Caenorhabditis elegans: one gene and its partners. The protein of the gene in region 4 interacts with the protein of the main gene of each other region in a pairwise test. Each region holds a gene or a part of one and is shown on either strand. Other genes may lie near its edges.

Region 1 (3,768 bases), on a different chromosome or scaffold from region 4:
TATTTCTCGATAGAATATTAAATTAGAGGCCCCACCAAAACAGAATGCAACTCAAAACAGGATTCACCAAAACAGGATGCAAGGGCGGAGCCTATTTCGCAACAACCGCGCATGCTTTTCCCGCAAGCCTCGCACGTTTTTTCCTTGATGTTGTTGCATTTTTTAAAGAGAAAAAACGTGCGAGGCTTGCGGAAAAAGCATGCGGTGGTTGCGAAATAGGCTCCGCCCCTGTATCCTGTTTTGAGTTGCATTCCGTTTTGGTGGGGCCTCTTAAATTAAATCGAAAAGAAAATCTGAGCCCGTAAATCGACCTACAGTAATCATTTAAAGAATTACTGCAGTTTTCGCTGCGAGATATTTTGCGCGTCAAATATGTTGTGCAGTACGCAGGTTTTTATTCCAATATCTTCCAGGTTCTAATGCTTCCAATCACTCTGGAGATATGATTGTCCTGCAGCTTGTCAGAAATCTGTGGCAAGAGCTCGGAGAGCAAAACTGACGGGAATTCGAAGATCACGAGGAGATGAAGAGCCTCGAGATATATGGAGGGGAAAAAAGTTTATCGGAAAATTTTTATACATGCTCAATATACATGTTTAGTTTACAAGTGATACCAGCATTCGGGAGAGGGGGGAGAGAAAATTAGCAGTAAATTGTGGGAATTTAGTTTTGAAGATTCAGGCGGCACGGTTGAGAATGACGTTGGCGGATGGTACCAAATCTGAAAATTTTAAAAAAAAATTAGAGAATGAACATTTTTTTGGTCTCAAAAAACCAAAATTCATAACGAAACTTTTCAAATTTTTATTTATTTTTTTCGAAAAAATGGCCCAATTACAGCAGAAATCTATATATTTTAGCGTTTTTTTCGTTGATTTAGGCACATTTAAAGTCAAATTGCACCATACTGCTCCAATATTTAAAAATTAGTGTCAAAATATAGAAAATCAGTTGATTTTTCTGAAAATAATACTTAATTTAACTGAAAAATTCGAAAGTGCTCAAAAATTGCCTTACAATTGACAATTCGTGACTTCTAGGCCATTTTTGAGCACTTTTTCAGATTCTTCAGTTAAATTGAGTCTTTTTGCTGAAGAAGGACAAAAATCGAATAAAAATAAATTTCCGGCAGCTGTGAACAGGAAAAGTTGGCGAAATAGCTGAAAATCGTCCACTTTTTTTTTCGAAAATTTCCAAGTTTCATCATGAAATCCGGCCTTTTTGAGCAAAACTCACTGAGAACTTTGAGCGGTGTTCCCATATCATCCTCGGTGAACACTTTGCGGGGGAATGGGGTCATCAGGGTGAACGGAACACCGTTTGCGTGATTAGTTTCGACCCAGGCGCGGACCATTGCGAGCTGAAAAATTAATTCAAGGGAGTCGAGAATATTTAAATTACCGGCTCATTAGCTTCAAACTGTTGTCTAACAGTTTGTCCATCGAGAAGTCGGAATTGAAGAGTTGTAGTTGAGTAGTCTTTTGGCGGAGCAACTGGAGCTGCAGACGGAGCAGGCTTTGCCTCTGGAACCGGTTGGCCTGAAGCTTTTGCCTTACGGGCTTCCTTGTCAAGCCGGATTTGCTCGAGAACTCGTTTTCTGGCGATTTCGTCTTCGTTCTTTTCGCGGCGACGATCTTGAGCGGCTTCTCTGCAAATTGGGAATATTATTATTTAAATTCAATGGAAAACAGTTTTCTAACCGAATTTCACGATCTCTGGCGGCTTCTTTATGGCTGATCATGGCTTTTCCATCCTCACGACGCTTTTTCTCCTTCTCACGATTCTCTTCGGCCTCGAGCTTTGCCTTTTTGGCCTGATGGACTTTGATTTTTTCTCGGATTTCCAGGACTTTTGCGGCCTTTTCCTCTGCAGTGAGAGGCTTGATAGCTTCCGAGCTTTCGCTGAAATTCTCGTGCTTTGTCTTCGAAGCGTGGAACATGATAGCATCATCGTTGGCGAGAAGCTTTCCGCAGCTGGAAAAAAAAATTTGGAGAAATAATTAATAAGAATCGTAGGGGGGAAAAACTCACTCATCACACTTAAAACTGGCGGCTACCGGGGGTGCACCACTGTCAGCGGCTCCTGGAGCAGCTTGAGCTGGAGCATCTGTCTCCATTGGTACACCGGCTCCGTCCTTCTCAATCCAATCCAACGCCTGATCGAGATTTCTGTTGTTTCCGGCGGCGGCCTCGGCTTTGTCGGCTGGGAAGCCCATATCCATGAGTTGTTGGGCGATCGACATTGTTATTCTGGAAAGAAATGCGACAATTTGGCGAAAAACTAGATTTTTTCTCATTTTCCAGAAGAATTTTGGGATTTTTTACGAAATAAGCTGTTCAAAACAGTGATATATTAACAATAAAGTGGTTTAATTAATAAAAAACCTTAAGAAATGCGTTTAAATCAGAAAATTCAGATAATAAATGGACTGGAACACTTTTTCTAGCCAAGAACACAAAGAGAATGCTGACTTTCTTTAAAGGCGCACGCATTTAATCGATCGGGTCTCGACGCGATTCAGCCGATTTTGTCGGCGCGTTGTTTGAAAATAGTTTTTTAAACGCTAAGATTTTTGCATTTTTTTTCGTTTTCTGCACGAAAACCTAGAAATTTCGATCGAAAATCAACTTTTTTTCCAGAAAAATGGACGAAATGGAAGATTTCTTCGAAAATGATGAATTGGATCGAGAGCCAAGCCCTATGGGAGACGAAGCAATCGAAGGTATCTAGAATTTCGTGTGAGAAATCGGGTTTTAATTAAAGTTTTGTTCAGATAACAGCGGCGAGGGAGGCACTAGACGAGTCGTGGAGCCGAAATTGTTAAGGACTAAAAGACTAGCAGTAAAACGCTTATTTTCTATGATTTATTTAAATTTTTTCAAACTTTAGAATCCACGCCTAGCACTGAATGAGCGAATTTTGACCGGGCCGAAAGGAATTTCAGCTCTTCGGGAGACTTTAAAAGATTTCAAGCCAAATCCCAAGGATGATCCGGTAAATTTGAAAGTTAAAAAATACAATAATTTTCCCTTTTCAGTACGCAAATCTGGAGAAATTGATGAAAAAATACGCATACTGGGGACATTTGATGTTTCCGAAGATGAAAACCGAAGATGTTCTGAATCGAGTCGAGACACTGGGAACACGGCGGCAGGTTAAAGTTTTCATGATCAAGCACCGGCTTGGAGAGACTGGCGAGGATTCTGAGCACGAGGAGCAGGAGAATCAAAAGAATGGAATTATTGATGATGGAGCGAGTGATAATGACGATGATTTATTCAAGGATTTACCAGAGAAAGGTTGCAAAATTTATCCAAACTTGTTATTAGAAAATCAAAAAATCTTTCAATTTCAGAAGTCACGACTGAAAAAGCTAAAAATTCTGAAAAATCCGACCAAAAAACCGCTGAAATTGATGAAAATGTCGAGGAAGAGTATCGAATGATGGAGGAAGAGCGGCTGCGAGAGGAACAGGAAGCCAAGGAAGCTGCTGACGAAGATGCTCTTATGGAAGATTTCGGTGATATGAATAACGATTGGTGATAGAGCAATTAATTTTTTTTAATTTCACGTGTATTTTATATTTTTATGAACTTTTCTTTGTTCTCGAATTTTCCAAAGCGTGAGACCTTTTTTTTATCGAATAAAACTACATTCCTTATTGTTATGACATGTCAACGCCAACACTCTCTCCGTCTACAGAAAAGTTGATTCCGATGTGAGTTTCTGGAGGTCAAAAATTCGAGTTTTTCTTGATTTTCGCCGTTT
Region 2 (5,918 bases), 4.3 Mb from region 4:
AATTTCCCGCTAAAACTATTTCAATCAGATTTTTTAAATTTCTCGCAGAAAAATTTTCTCGAAAAAAATTAATTATTGGTCACAGTTTGATCTCAAAAAATTTGAACTTACTACAAATTTAGACTACAAATTTTTTGGACAAAATTTTACCAAAATTTTGTTCTCAGAGACTTAGATTTTCTTGCCAACTTTTATTTGGTAAATTTTAAATTCCGATTAATATTAGTTTTTGAAATAATAAGTACTATAAACTTAAGTTTATAAATAAAATTGATATCGGTGATTTTTTTTCTTCGAAAAACCCTCCAAATTGAGTAGATCTGCCATTAAAAAAAAACTGAAAAAAAAACACTTTAAAAGTCAAATCACTGTTTTTTTCTTTCAGTAATCTGGCTGCACAAAAAGAAGATCGAGGCTGAATTACAATCCCGCCACGCCGAATCAACCAAATTTTTAAGCAAAATTAAATTAAAAGAGTCAGAAATTTACGGGTTGAAGACAAAACAAGAAACGTGCCAGAAGGAGTTGACGGATTGTCAGGTAAGATTTGAAATTTTTTTAAAACCATAATTCATGTTTTATAGACTTTAAAAGAAGAGCCAAAAGAGCAAAAAAAAGAAAACAATAAAAACGATGAAAATTCGAAGAAAACAATCGAAAAATATGAACAAGAAATTGCGGGTCTCAAAGAGAAAATTGAAGGTTTGGAGGAGAAGGTGAAGAATAATTATTCGGATGAAAATTCTAGCTTGAAGGTAATCTGAAATTAATTACCAAAATATTTCAAAAAATTTATTCCAGGAGGAACTGAAACAGTGCGAAACGAGGATCAGGCAGTTGACAGGGGTAAGTTAAGATGAAGCTGGGAATTGTTGTCCATAACCATAGAGAGATGGGTCATCAAATGATAATCCCGTGAAAGTGGTTGTTGGTTGACAGGACCAATTGGTATAAGGGGGCATGAAGGCGTTTGGGTACATGTTGCTTGCAGTGGAGAGCAGTTGCTGGAATAAGTTTTAGGAGGGTTTTTGATTAGTTATGAAAATTCTAAAATTTAGAAAAAGTGGAGATAGGAGAAAAAGTGGAGATAGCATAATTTTTACCGACTTCAAAATTTCTCCATTAAGCTGCAAGAGTTAAAAAAAAAGTAGCATAAACTTTATTTAAAACATTTTTTGAAAATTTCAACTAACCTGTTGCTCGATACTCCTCGGATCAGTCATCTGAAGACTTGTCAAGAATGTTGTACTTGAAATCCCAGGGATCAATGGCTTCATATCAACTAGAACCTCCTCTTTGACAGTATCCGATGGTACAACTTCTACATCAGACACAACTGGTGGTGGTTGAGATGGAGCCACTAGATTTGTGTCGAAATGAGAAGTTGGAATTGGGAAGGCGCTTGTGTAAATTGAGGTATCAAATGATGACGATGAGGAAGAGGAGTTGTTGATTTGGGAGGTGTTGGCACTATCAGTGATGGAGTTGGGGTATTGGAACTGAAAAATTGAAAGTGTTAGATCTGCACCCCGATTGTGCTCTATTTTGACCGCTTATATCATGGTTGCCTGAAATTTTATCAAATAATTGTCATTATTTAAATGTAGAGAAATATTTTGCCCATATTTTGTCAACTGACAATTTTTGATAACAACAAAGGGAGTCAAGATATAAGCTGTCAAAGTAGACCAAGGCATGGAGTCCACTTTTTGGGCTTTTTTGGTAGGCAGGCACGCCTTCAGGCGTACTTACCTACTTTATATTTTTCTGCCTATGCCTGCCTATGATCTAAAATTTACAAGCAGGCATAGTTGTCTTTGTGAAATATTTGCACAGTTCGCTAATTTCTTTAAGATCTTTTTGAGATTGGCACAGTTTCCTCGGAGTTTTGAGTATTTTCATGAAAGTTTTTTTTGGAAAAACAATTATTAATAAAATTATTTTTAATTGGGAATATAAAGCAACTTTGCTTCATTTTATAAGAGTTGTAACGAAAATTTCACAACTAACTAGTAAGGACTCTGGGGCTAAACGATAAGCTTACTACAGATTCACCAATATTTTTAGTACAATTTCGTAAATTTGTTGCCTGTTCGAATTTTTCATGGGGCGTTAGCGTTCAGATTCCCGAAAATCTTCACTGGGCAATTATTTACCTTAAAAAACTGGAAAGGATCCATAGTTTGAATATTCTGTGGCCACTTCAACCCGTTGAAAAACGGAAGCTGTTGCTGTAGAATGGTCCCTGTTTCAGTAGTTTCCGTCGTATTCGCATAACCCATTTTTCCGATTCCAAGTCTTTTGACACGTCTGTAAATACATGAACAAATAGTCATTTTTCACGAGTGTATAATAATAATAATCCTCTTGTCACTATCCATACCTTCTCTTAAAGTTGCCGTTGTCAAACTGAGGCGCATTGTCCGCCACCATTTGCCAATAGTTGCCCTTTCTGTCGTTCGCGCAGCTTTGTCCGTCTCGTGCTTTTTTGACAAAGCAGTCGTTGAGTGACAGATTGTGTCGAATACTGTTCTGCCATCCCTGTTTTCGTTTCGCGTCCGCGTCACGGTAATATGGGAATTTGGCCTCGATGAACTGAAACACACATCATCGGTTTTGTTTGCGCCTGATAGGAAACTAACATACTTTGAAAGGTTATATCTCGGTTCATAATAAAGATATCAATGAATGATCAACTACAAACCTATAGAAAAATAACCAAAAAATATTTGGCTGGTAGACAATTTTTGTTTAGGACAAACGAGAGCTGAGATATTAACTGTCAAAGTTGAATACTAAGGTTTTTGGGTCTTGACACGAAGAAGGTCTATATATATATATATTGACATTGTTATTGACTTGTAGGAGAGAGGAAAAGTTGTTCACTGTGTAAATGTTATGGGAGAGGCACAGGGTGCCCCCCACACCAAATTAGTCAGATCTATTAAGGTTGATGAGTCAAAACGGAAGAGTGGAAGTGGTGGGTTACGGTAGATGTGCTGGCTAGTGAGTTGGGTTTTCCAGAGTTAGATTGAACTGAACATTACTAGATCACTTGTGACAGGGTTACGGTAGGGCAGGGCTAGGTGGAAAAAAAAAGCAACCAACTGAATATCACAACAAAAATATCAATGTATGAAACTTACTGTACGAAAATGTGATATGGGAAAGATGATGTAGAACCTTAAGAACTTTTTTTCGAATTTCGTTTTTTTTGTAGCAATAAGGAGCAGATTAATTTTACTGCTATATAATCGTGTTAGAAAATCTCCAAAATAACAGATATTTTGAGGCTTTTCTAGTAATTTCAAAACAATTTAAAGTACAAAAAATATAGGGAGAATCTCCGGAGAAGTGACGAATATTTTTCTGGATTTTTAAATGAAGTATATGTCATTACAAGATGATCGCCAAATTTTTCGCTTCAAAGGAGCATTTTGAACTAGAAAATGTTTCATTAAATGGCTCGGCTTGATCAGTTTTATATGACTAAATAGACTCCGATGATTCAAGTTTTCAAATAATTGAAATTTACAAAAAAATCTTTCAAACGTTTGCCTATACCTGAAAAACTTAAAAGAAGATAAAAATCGGATTTGGAACAATTTCAGCAGCCTCGAAGTTAGTGTAAAGTGAGATAAAAATTCTCAGAAAAAAAGTAATTTTTAAAGTTTTGGAATTGAATTTCGTAGATCTATTTTTGCAGGAATAACTGAAAGTTCTAGCACATATTTTAATACTCAATATGACGTCCAAAAAAAACTGGAATATTCCGCTAACATTGTGAAAAATTTGCTCAAAAATTCTTCAAAATTTGAATTGCCGCACCAGTTTTGGGTTTTTAAAATGGTATTTTTCCGCAAAAAAGTATTTAGTTTTAGCAAAATTTTCATGATAATTCCTCCAAAACCGCTATACCAAAAAAACGTTATCGAAAAGCTTCCCGTTACCTTGTAAATCTGATTCAACGTCATTCTCTTATCCGGCGAAGCATCGATTGCCATTGCAATAAGTGCAACGTAACTGTATGGCGGCTTGTCAATCGAATTTCCCTCTTGACTGGAAAGAGCTCTTTTATTTTCAAAACTTTGCCTCTAACAGAATTTTGCAACGGGGATTTTGTATTTAGAGAAGAAGAAAAAGAAAATATGTTTCCCCTCTCTCTCTCCCTCTCTAAAAACAATAATAAATAAATAAAATAAATAAATACATAACTTACACAATATGAAATGGAAGATGTGTTTGATGGCGAGTCATGATTATTGTATTTTTTTATGGTAGGGGGTGTCAAATGAGACAACGGATTATGCAGAAGCTAAGAGTGAGGGCGGGGTCTCGGAACTGTGAAGACGGAGGTGTGGGTGGAGGGAAAGAAATGGAAGAAGATTGTGCACACTGTCTCCTTCTCCCCCCTGTGTGCTCCTGACATTTTCTGGTGCTGATTCACTGGTAAAAGGGAAACAGAAACATCCAATCTGATCATCTCTTACTTTTTATATTTTGTAAATAAACGAAAAATCGAAAGGGAGAACACGACGACGATTGGAGAATATTTGTATTACAACACAAAATTACACACAACTTTTTACAGGGAGGAGCCATCGAGCATTACTCGCAAAATGAGACGGCACATTTCAGCAGGAATCAGAAGGTTTGTGCTTCTTTTTGTTGTACACAGTACTCCCGTTACAGTAATCTGGAATTATTCTGAAAATTTTGCGATTTTTTAATCCTTAACTTGACCATATTTTTTGACTTTCCAGCGACTTTTAGTCACCTTTCATTCATTGTATTTTTTCTACTAGACTTCCAGGCACTTTCCTTTACTTTGACAGCGTATATCTCAGCTCTTTTTGATTTTATCAAAAATTATTAACTGGCAAAGTACTCCCAAAATAATTCTCTACATTTTATTAGTTTATCATTTTTTGTTAAAATCTAAGTGAACCAAGACATAAGTCGTCAAAGTGGAGCAATGTCGGCGCAAGGCTAATAGGGAAAATTGGCAAAATAGTAGATCAAAATGATTTCCAATTTTTTTTTTCAAACTTCTGAAAAACAAATTTGTTTTAAAATTAATGATTATAAACCACAAGTATCGTTTTTTTTTTAATTTAAATTTAATTTCATTAAAAACTGGATTTTTTTAACTTTTTAAATTTCCAGCCACATTTTTGGGCATTGTTTTCTGTAGCCTCGAAAAGTGAATAGAAGTGCCTGGATCGACCAAAATAATTTGAAATATTTGTTTTAATGCTAAAACGGTCAATTCAGACAAAACTAGCCATTTTCCAAAGCATCAGAAAAATTTAGAAACAAATTTAGAAAACTTGAAAATTTTTGATTGCAAAATTTTCGATTTTTTCGAAAAAAAAAAGATTTTTATCAATAATAATTTCCCTCAAGAAAGTGATTTTAAAAATGGTTGTTTAAAATAATTCACCACATAATCAGAATTTCAAATATTCAAACAATTTCCAAAATTGGATATTTTTCATAGATAGTTCTATTTTTTCACACTTTCAATTTTTCTCTGTGTAGTTTCAGAATCACAAGATATTTTCCCATTTGAAACGAAAACATATCACTTTAAATAAATCACCTGAATATTTGCCACTGTTTTGCTTATCTGTCTGACTTTCTCTTATCAACAAATTGTTTCAAACTTTTTGATCAAAGGTCTTGCTTGTTTCTATTTTTACTTACTCCCTGTATTTCTTTTCACATGAGTCTACAAGAGAGAAAAAAGTAGCCGTCATAAGGGTCAACTAACTACTCCATTTTCAGGCTGATGAACCATTGTTCTTCGATCGAGGTAACATTCAACATCACATCCCGCAAAAGTTGTTATTGGGACGAGAATTGGTGCAGACACTGGAAGAGGCAAAAGTGAAAAAGTTGGAGGAGAGAGAACAAAT
Region 3 (2,942 bases), on a different chromosome or scaffold from region 4:
CGCTGACTAGAATCAACGTTCCAAAAAACGACAACTCCATCTCGAAACACGAAAATTTCACTGAGTTCGCCTGGATTGATGGTATATTCCAGTTTTTTGACAAAGTGCAAGCTGTCATCCGCGTCCTCGTCGATTGCAGTTATATTATACATTCCATTGAGCTGTGCATCCATGATGACCTCATTGAGGTTCAGTGATTCTGAAAGTGCCATGGCGACGACTGAAGGTTCTCGTAGGGATTTTGGAACAACCGATGAAGCAACTGGGCGTCTCTTCTTCATCTTTCTAACTTGAACCCGTTCCAGATTAATTATCTCTTTGGGCTGGGTCTCGCTCCGCAGAAGTGCTGTGAATGAGAACTGGCGCCTGGCTGGACCCGGCTTTGTAGCTACTAGAGCTCCCCGAAGTATTGATTTGAGCATCTGTATTTTATAATGATTCTTTGTTACCATGTACAAATCTCATTCCAAAAATCCAATATTTACGAAATTTACGTTTTGCACAAATAGCGACATTCAATTAAAATTAACGATTTATTTGCCAACACATGGACTGGAACGAGTGAAGATTACTTCAGCTTCTTCTTGATGCGGAGCTCGCTGGAGTGTCCGCACTTCTTCTTTCTGCAGTTGCTGGCACGTGGTGGGAGACGAGCATAGCACTTTCTGCAGATCTGCTTGTCGCAGTTGTACTTCTGGGCGAGCTGACGGAGAGATGGCTCGATGATTCCTGAATTTAGAAATATTTCTCAATGCCTGAACATTAGAAAAAAACTAACCTCCACGAAGACGGAGCACCAAGTGGAGAGTAGACTCCTTTTGGATGTTGTAGTCGGAGAGAGTACGTCCATCCTCGAGTTGCTTTCCTGAAATTAGAAAATTATATTGGGTGTTTTGCCCGGAAATTAATTCAAGAATATATCAGGTCTGAATAATAACGTACCGGCGAAGATCAATCTTTGCTGATCTGGTGGGATTCCCTCCTTGTCTTGGATCTTGGCCTTGACATTCTCAATGGTATCGGAAGCCTCGACTTCGAGGGTAATAGTCTTACCCGTCAGAGTCTTGACGAAGATTTGCATGACTGAAATTATATAATTTGAAAAGAAACCGAGTAAAATTGTCAGAAAATGACGGCGAGAGCGAAACATTTGGAGGAGAGCGTAGGGGCAAAAATTATTGATTTTTCTTTAGAGACTAGTTTCAAAGGTGACAAAAGACGTTATAGACCGCATAATGTGTGTAACTACCCATTTAGAACAAAGAGGAAAGAATATTTTGCGTTAAAAAGCTGTAAAAATTCAAGAATAGAGAAATTATTTAGCAAAAAAATGAAATTTCATAATAAATTCGTTTTCCAAGCTTAAAATACAACAGAATCTCCACTTTCTATGCTGAACAAGCGTCCAGAACAATATTTTGATTAAATTGAACAGAAATTTGGAAAAATTTCGCAGAGAAACGGCGAAAATCGAGCAAAAAAACGGAAAAAATTTAGGCCCAGCGACACAAATGGAGGATTGCCGTGGTGATGGGTCTCGCCGCGAAATTGAGAGACGGCGAAAGTACGGTAGAGAGCTGCAGGATTTACGGGAAGGGGGAGAAGAATTCGAATATTATTTTTTTGTTTCAAACGTTTTTCGAACGTTTTTTTATTGATTTCTTCGAGTTTTGTTATGAAATTTACAGTTTTATTGATGAAAATTTTGTTTTTTATTGCAGAAAACTTCAAAAAATGCCAGGCGCTGACTACAGTGCTGTAAAAGGTGGTGGATTGAAATTAAAAGCCGGAAAAAAGAATTTGTAAGTGACATATTCAAGTTTAAAGTGTATAAAATCCTCCATTAATTCACTCGTTGCAGATTCAAAGTGGGAAAGGAGAAAAAGAAGAAGAACAAAGACGACAAGGAGAAAATCGATCCAGACACCGTCGAAAATGGTGGTTGGCGCAAAATTGCCGATGAATTCGATATGAAAGGAGGAACCAACGTCGCCATCGAAGTTGCCAGTGGAGCCGGCTCAACGCGAACTTATGTCGCTGCAATGGACAACGGAAAATTCACAATTGGATTTCCACATCCGGAGGGAGAAGGCCCGAATCCTGAGGAAATTTTCGCGCTCGTCAAAACTCCAGACGATAGTAAAATCAGTTTGAAGACAGGATTCGGAAGATATGTTGGAGTGGACAGCGAATATCAATTGGTTGCCATGGCTGAAGCTATTGGATCCCGCGAGCAATTCGTGTTGGTTTTCCAGGAGGGAAAAACCGCGTTCCAAGCCGTCTCCTCACCACTTTTCCTCTCTACAGTTCCAAATAAAGAGGGGCATATTTATGTGGCTAGTAGAACCGCTACGGAGAATGAAATGGTTAATGTAAGTGCTAATTTAGATATAAATAGATAAAATCCGATTAAATTCAATTTCCAGATCCGTACAGACGCTATACAAGAAGGCCCAGTCGATTGGAGATCTGTGGAAGACCGCAAAAACGCTCGGGAGTGTGAGACGGCCTACGTGAAGATGTATCAGCACTCGAAGGTTGATCTCAAGAACCGACATATTGCGATTGACGTGAAGGACAAGAAAGGAGTTAAGAAAGCGCAGGCCGACGGAAGTGCACACGAGCTGCTGCTGGACAGACGGATGAAAATGAAATCTGATCGATATTGTTAATAATCTTCACTTGTATTTGTTCTGTAAAATTCAATAAATTCTCTAATAATTATTCTTTTACTTTCTTTTTTTGTTTAAGGATGGAGTATCGTCAATGGGGAAATTGCTTTAAAATACTCTTATAAGAGCTCTTATAGGGCCACCAAAAATCTCAGTTTTCACTATTTGAATTACCGCCAATTAAGTTTGTTCGACGGGGCGCGCTTGCATTATTTTTAAAATTTAATCTTATTTATTCTCGTTATTTGACTGATTTCCTTTATTACTTGT
Region 4 (4,024 bases):
TCTTCTTCTTCAACCAGCTGTACCTTTTCATGATAAATGGCCATGTCATGTGCTTCAAAGACAGAAAGAGAAAAGGAAGAATGTGTTCGATGACCGGCAAATAGAAAAGAGTGAGACGTTTGGAAGAGGGTGGCGGAAAGATGATAATAAATAGAATCAGTCATATGTTCCGAGGTTTTACTCATGGAACGGTGACTCATGTGGAATTTCTGAGCATTTTGTAGAAATTCACCGTAAGAGAAATGATAGGATTTGATTACTTAGTGTCTAGAAGTCTTGAAGAATGTTATTTTAATTTAGGCATTATTCAATCATTTCATTGAGCTCTAACAATGTGAGTTCTACAAACAAAACAAAATGAGCTGAACACTTTTTGTGCTAGGTCGGTTTACTTCCTGCTTTCTTACCGCTGTAATAACATTTTATGACCCTTCCAAACTCGTGATCGGCTTGAAATTGAGATTTTCAAAATGAAAGTTTGAAAACCAAGTAAAAAAATTCGAGGAAAAATAATTATTTATTTTAGTATTTAAATTGTAATTATTCTAGACTAGAGAGGCTTTTACAGCTGCCAAATCTCGTCTTTCCACTGCTCTCAGTAAATTGTCAGGGACATTCGATGTTCGGATTGCTGCTGATCTGAAATTTGTGAAGGTGATTTTAACATATAAAGCTATAAACTAACCTCATAGTTGTCCAAATACCAGATGCATCATTTCCTCCTTTTTGCAATTCTAATGCAGATAAAAAATGTTTCAAAGCTTCATCATAAGATGATAATTGCATACAAGATATTCCCAAATTGTATCTTGCTCTGACATATGTTGGATACAATTTCAAAGCTTCTCGATATGCTGAAATGGCTTCAGCTGTGTGGTCACCATTGGCTAACGTAGCACCAAGACGATTCCAGAGACGAGCATCAGTTGGATTTTTGGAGATCGCCAACTTGAGAGAGTCGACAGCTCTTGCAAAATTGCGATTCAAGTTGTATAAAACTCCGAGAGCATTTTGAAGATCTGGATCTGGAGTTGCTCCTTGTTGCCGAGCAGCATCCAAGAATCTAGCCTCAACTCGATTAAAAGTGTCACTGTCCAGAAATGAAGAGTAGAGTGGAGGTGTGGTTGTCACTTGAGTCGAGTTTGAACCCTTAAAATATTTATTCGTGTGGGATTATTCTTGAAATAAAAATAAGAAATACCAAGTAAGAAGACATCCATTTATCCAATTGATGTAAAGCTTCATTTTCCATTCCTTCGTTCGCTTGACTGACAGACAAACCAAGAAGTGCCTGAAATAATTTTGATTTTATTGGAAGTTTTTTTTTTTTTTTCTTAATTTCTGTTCTTAAAAAGTTTTAAGAGACAGATATGAATTTTATCGCGACCTATCTATTTTATGGCATCAAATAATCAAATATTTTTCTCAAATTTTACCTCCTTGTTTCCAGCGTCAATCTGCAAACATTTTTGGAACGCTTGCATTGCTAACTGATCTTTTTCATTTTCAGCATGAGCCAATCCTAATTTACACCAGGCACGTGCATCCTGAGGATCTTTTTGAACTGCTGCTTCATAGGCAAGCATGGCATTTCCAATATCTCCATTTCTCATTAGATTGTCTCCTTCCATCAGTGGATCTGACATGGTTGTGAAAGGGTTTGCTTCCTGAATAGGAGGGTTATAAAAATGTGTTAAAGAAGACAAAAATCTTACCTGATAAACATAGTTTTCAGGACTTTGAAGAGATTCGTCCTTTTCCATATCTCTCTTAATTTCCTCCCATCTCTGTTCAAAAGCCTGTGCATCTTTCCAAGTGTTTTCCATTCCATAATTATCTTGTTGCTCCATAAAATCATCAGCCCAGTTTTGAGTCCCAGAAGATTTGGTTAAAGAAGTATCCACAGTATCCAGATATTCAGATGACCACATACCAGCATCTGTTATTGGTTGATGTGATGACGTGGATGTCATTGATGGAGCTTGAACTTGACGCCATGCAGATTCCATGCTTGGAGCACTAGATGTGTATTGTTGACTCCATTGACTCGCTAACTGGTTCTGAAGCAATCAATTGAAAATACCAATATATGAATGCATTAGAAATACCTGTCGCGGTTGAAACTCCTTTGTCCAATTTGCTGCCAAACTTGAGGATGCTGATGCCTGTGGTAAATTATTCTGCATCGACTTCATGCTGAAACTTGTTGGAGCCATTGTTCTCGCTTGTTGTCTTAAAAATTCATTAGCCATTTGTTCTCCCATAGAAGAAGATGGGAGAAGAGAAGCTGCAGCTAAAAACTTTTTTTTTTGTTAATTTTTACTTGAATATTTCCAGCTTACCATTACTCGGAGCGACTCTTTGATTGGATGTTCCAAATGTGTTAGCTAACCCGACAAGAGCATTCTGCTGTCCACATTGTCCTTCTACAACTCCTTTCATTCTGTAAAAAATTGAAGAATTCGAGAGTTAATTGTTGAAAAAAAGTAGAATTAAAAATGAAGAAAAATACAATTTACAAGAAATATATAAAATAAAGTGTGAATTTTGATTGAAAAAGAAAATAAGTGGGCCCCAGTGTAGTCTTTTCATCAAATTGATTGATACTACATTAGGATTTAGAGTGAAGGAGACGTAGTGATAAAAAGATAGTATTGTCTTATCAAAAAGGATACAATTGATGAAATTTAGATAAGGAACAACGGAGGTCGACTATCGATTTCTGAAATAACCGGGAAACGTTTATGGATTTTTTTTCCAAGTTTTCCTAGCAAGATTGAAAACGTAATAAAATAGAATACCTTATTGTAAGTTTCCAAATTTCAATCCTTCAATTAGATATTCTAGTTGCTAGTGGAGTTATCCTAGATCGTTTTAAATTAAGCAAAATGGATATTTTGCACTTGGTTTGATTTTCAACAACACGGGTTTCTGGCTCGACCCGTCGCCCCATTGCACACTTGCACGGGGGAAAAATATTTGATTGTGCAATAATAATAATAATTTTTCGTGTGCAAAAGACAAATTTTGCTCGAATGAAGTTGTGAATTTAAAGAGAGTTCCCCCATTATTCCATAGCTAGGATTGATGTCATCTGGATCAAAATTTCAAAGATATCGAAACTGGCAGGAAAAACATTATTAACCAAAAAAATGTCAAGACAACCTTATTCGTCGACTGCATACATTCAGTTTTTTCCCCTATTTTGACATATTCTGTATACCTATAGGTTTTGTAACTATAAAACATTCCTTGAATACTTTTTTGTATAATGTCATCATTATTATATTTTCTTTTATAAACAAGGCCTATTAAAATGTCCAATAAAACTACGAAGATATACACAAAAGGTGTGATTTTATAATGTATTCCCTATAATTTAAACGAAACGAAACGAAAACGGGCGGCCCCTTGTACTGACAATTGACGGCATAAATATGAAACACGAAATGGTCTTTACATTCTTACTGATGATGGTTAGACCAGAAGCTTCAACCTCCAGAATTCCACGTAGAAGAACCACATTTACAGTGGAACAACTATATTTACTCGAAATGTATTTTGCACAAAGTCAGTATGTTGGATGTGATGAAAGGGAAAGATTGGCAAGGATTTTGAGTCTAGATGAATATCAGGTTTCTATTGTTTTTAGAAATCTATTCTCTATTAAAATTGTTTGCGAAATTTATCCACCAGGCTGAGCTCCAGCAACTTCTACGTTAAGTCTAACATATCCGATTGTATGTTGTAAAGATGTGATTAGATCAATCTAGGAAAAAAATAAAAAATTTTTAAATCAGTTGTTATCATTCAATAATTTTCCGAGACGTAGCACATTACAGGTGAAGATTTGGTTCCAAAATCGTCGAATCCGGATGAGAAGAGAAGCCAATAAATAATAGTCAAATATTTATTTAATTTCATTTCACTGAAATAAATTTTGTAGTTAGAACCACTATTTCCAACATTGAAAACATCGCTTTACGGTTTTGAAAACTCCTCGAGAGCAAATTCCTGATCATCT

The links.
Region 1: the proteins of prx-5 (region 4) and ubxn-1 interact in a two-hybrid assay, tested with the Caenorhabditis elegans proteins (one large-scale study listed by BioGRID).
Region 2: the proteins of prx-5 (region 4) and fkh-6 interact in a two-hybrid assay, tested with the Caenorhabditis elegans proteins (one large-scale study listed by BioGRID).
Region 3: the proteins of prx-5 (region 4) and ubq-2 interact in a two-hybrid assay, tested with the Caenorhabditis elegans proteins (one large-scale study listed by BioGRID).

The regions. Positions count from the first base shown.
Region 1 is NC_003279.8:2,432,485-2,436,252, reverse strand, and holds ubxn-1 (UBX domain-containing protein 1), read right to left. Parts: upstream 2,252-3,768; 5' UTR 2,243-2,251; coding exon 2,031-2,242; intron 1,974-2,030; coding exon 1,701-1,973; intron 1,649-1,700; coding exon 1,402-1,648; intron 1,361-1,401; coding exon 1,237-1,360; intron 722-1,236; coding exon 678-721; 3' UTR 562-677; downstream 1-561. Other genes in the region: tipn-1 (Protein TIPIN homolog), read left to right, coding at 2,644-2,722, 2,774-2,841, 2,890-2,994, 3,038-3,299, 3,356-3,543; F23C8.8 (Protein kinase domain-containing protein), read left to right, coding at 3,672-3,718. UniProt on the Caenorhabditis elegans protein: Ubiquitin-binding protein which acts as an adapter for ATPase cdc-48.1 and/or cdc-48.2, conferring substrate specificity.
Region 2 is NC_003280.10:4,379,032-4,384,949, forward strand, and holds fkh-6 (Forkhead transcription factor fkh-6), read right to left. Parts: upstream 4,376-5,918; 5' UTR 4,258-4,375; coding exon 4,220-4,257; intron 4,060-4,219; coding exon 3,951-4,059; intron 2,596-3,950; coding exon 2,384-2,595; intron 2,311-2,383; coding exon 2,157-2,310; intron 1,500-2,156; coding exon 1,194-1,499; intron 1,005-1,193; coding exon 852-1,004; 3' UTR 847-851; coding exon of another isoform or gene 802-846; 3' UTR 756-801; coding exon of another isoform or gene 585-755; 3' UTR 554-584; downstream 1-553. Other genes in the region: B0286.1 (uncharacterized protein), read left to right, coding at 386-540, 585-755, 802-846, 4,592-4,651, 5,788-5,918. UniProt on the Caenorhabditis elegans protein: Probable transcription factor. Binds to the DNA sequence motif 5'-[TA]TGTT[TG]T[TG][ATG]TT-3'.
Region 3 is NC_003281.10:12,977,441-12,980,382, forward strand, and holds ubq-2 (Ubiquitin), read right to left. Parts: upstream 1,084-2,942; 5' UTR 1,082-1,083; coding exon 943-1,081; intron 866-942; coding exon 779-865; intron 730-778; coding exon 569-729; 3' UTR 523-568; downstream 1-522. Other genes in the region: ZK1010.2 (DUF155 domain-containing protein), read right to left, coding at 1-422; frg-1 (Protein FRG1 homolog), read left to right, coding at 1,735-1,802, 1,862-2,372, 2,427-2,672.
Region 4 is NC_003280.10:8,703,243-8,707,266, reverse strand, and holds prx-5 (TPR_REGION domain-containing protein), read right to left. Parts: upstream 2,444-4,024; 5' UTR 2,443-2,443; coding exon 2,343-2,442; intron 2,294-2,342; coding exon 2,109-2,293; intron 2,061-2,108; coding exon 1,716-2,060; intron 1,668-1,715; coding exon 1,437-1,667; intron 1,292-1,436; coding exon 1,202-1,291; intron 1,150-1,201; coding exon 686-1,149; intron 640-685; coding exon 546-639; 3' UTR 507-545; downstream 1-506. Other genes in the region: Homeobox protein ceh-7, read left to right, coding at 3,438-3,635, 3,843-3,899.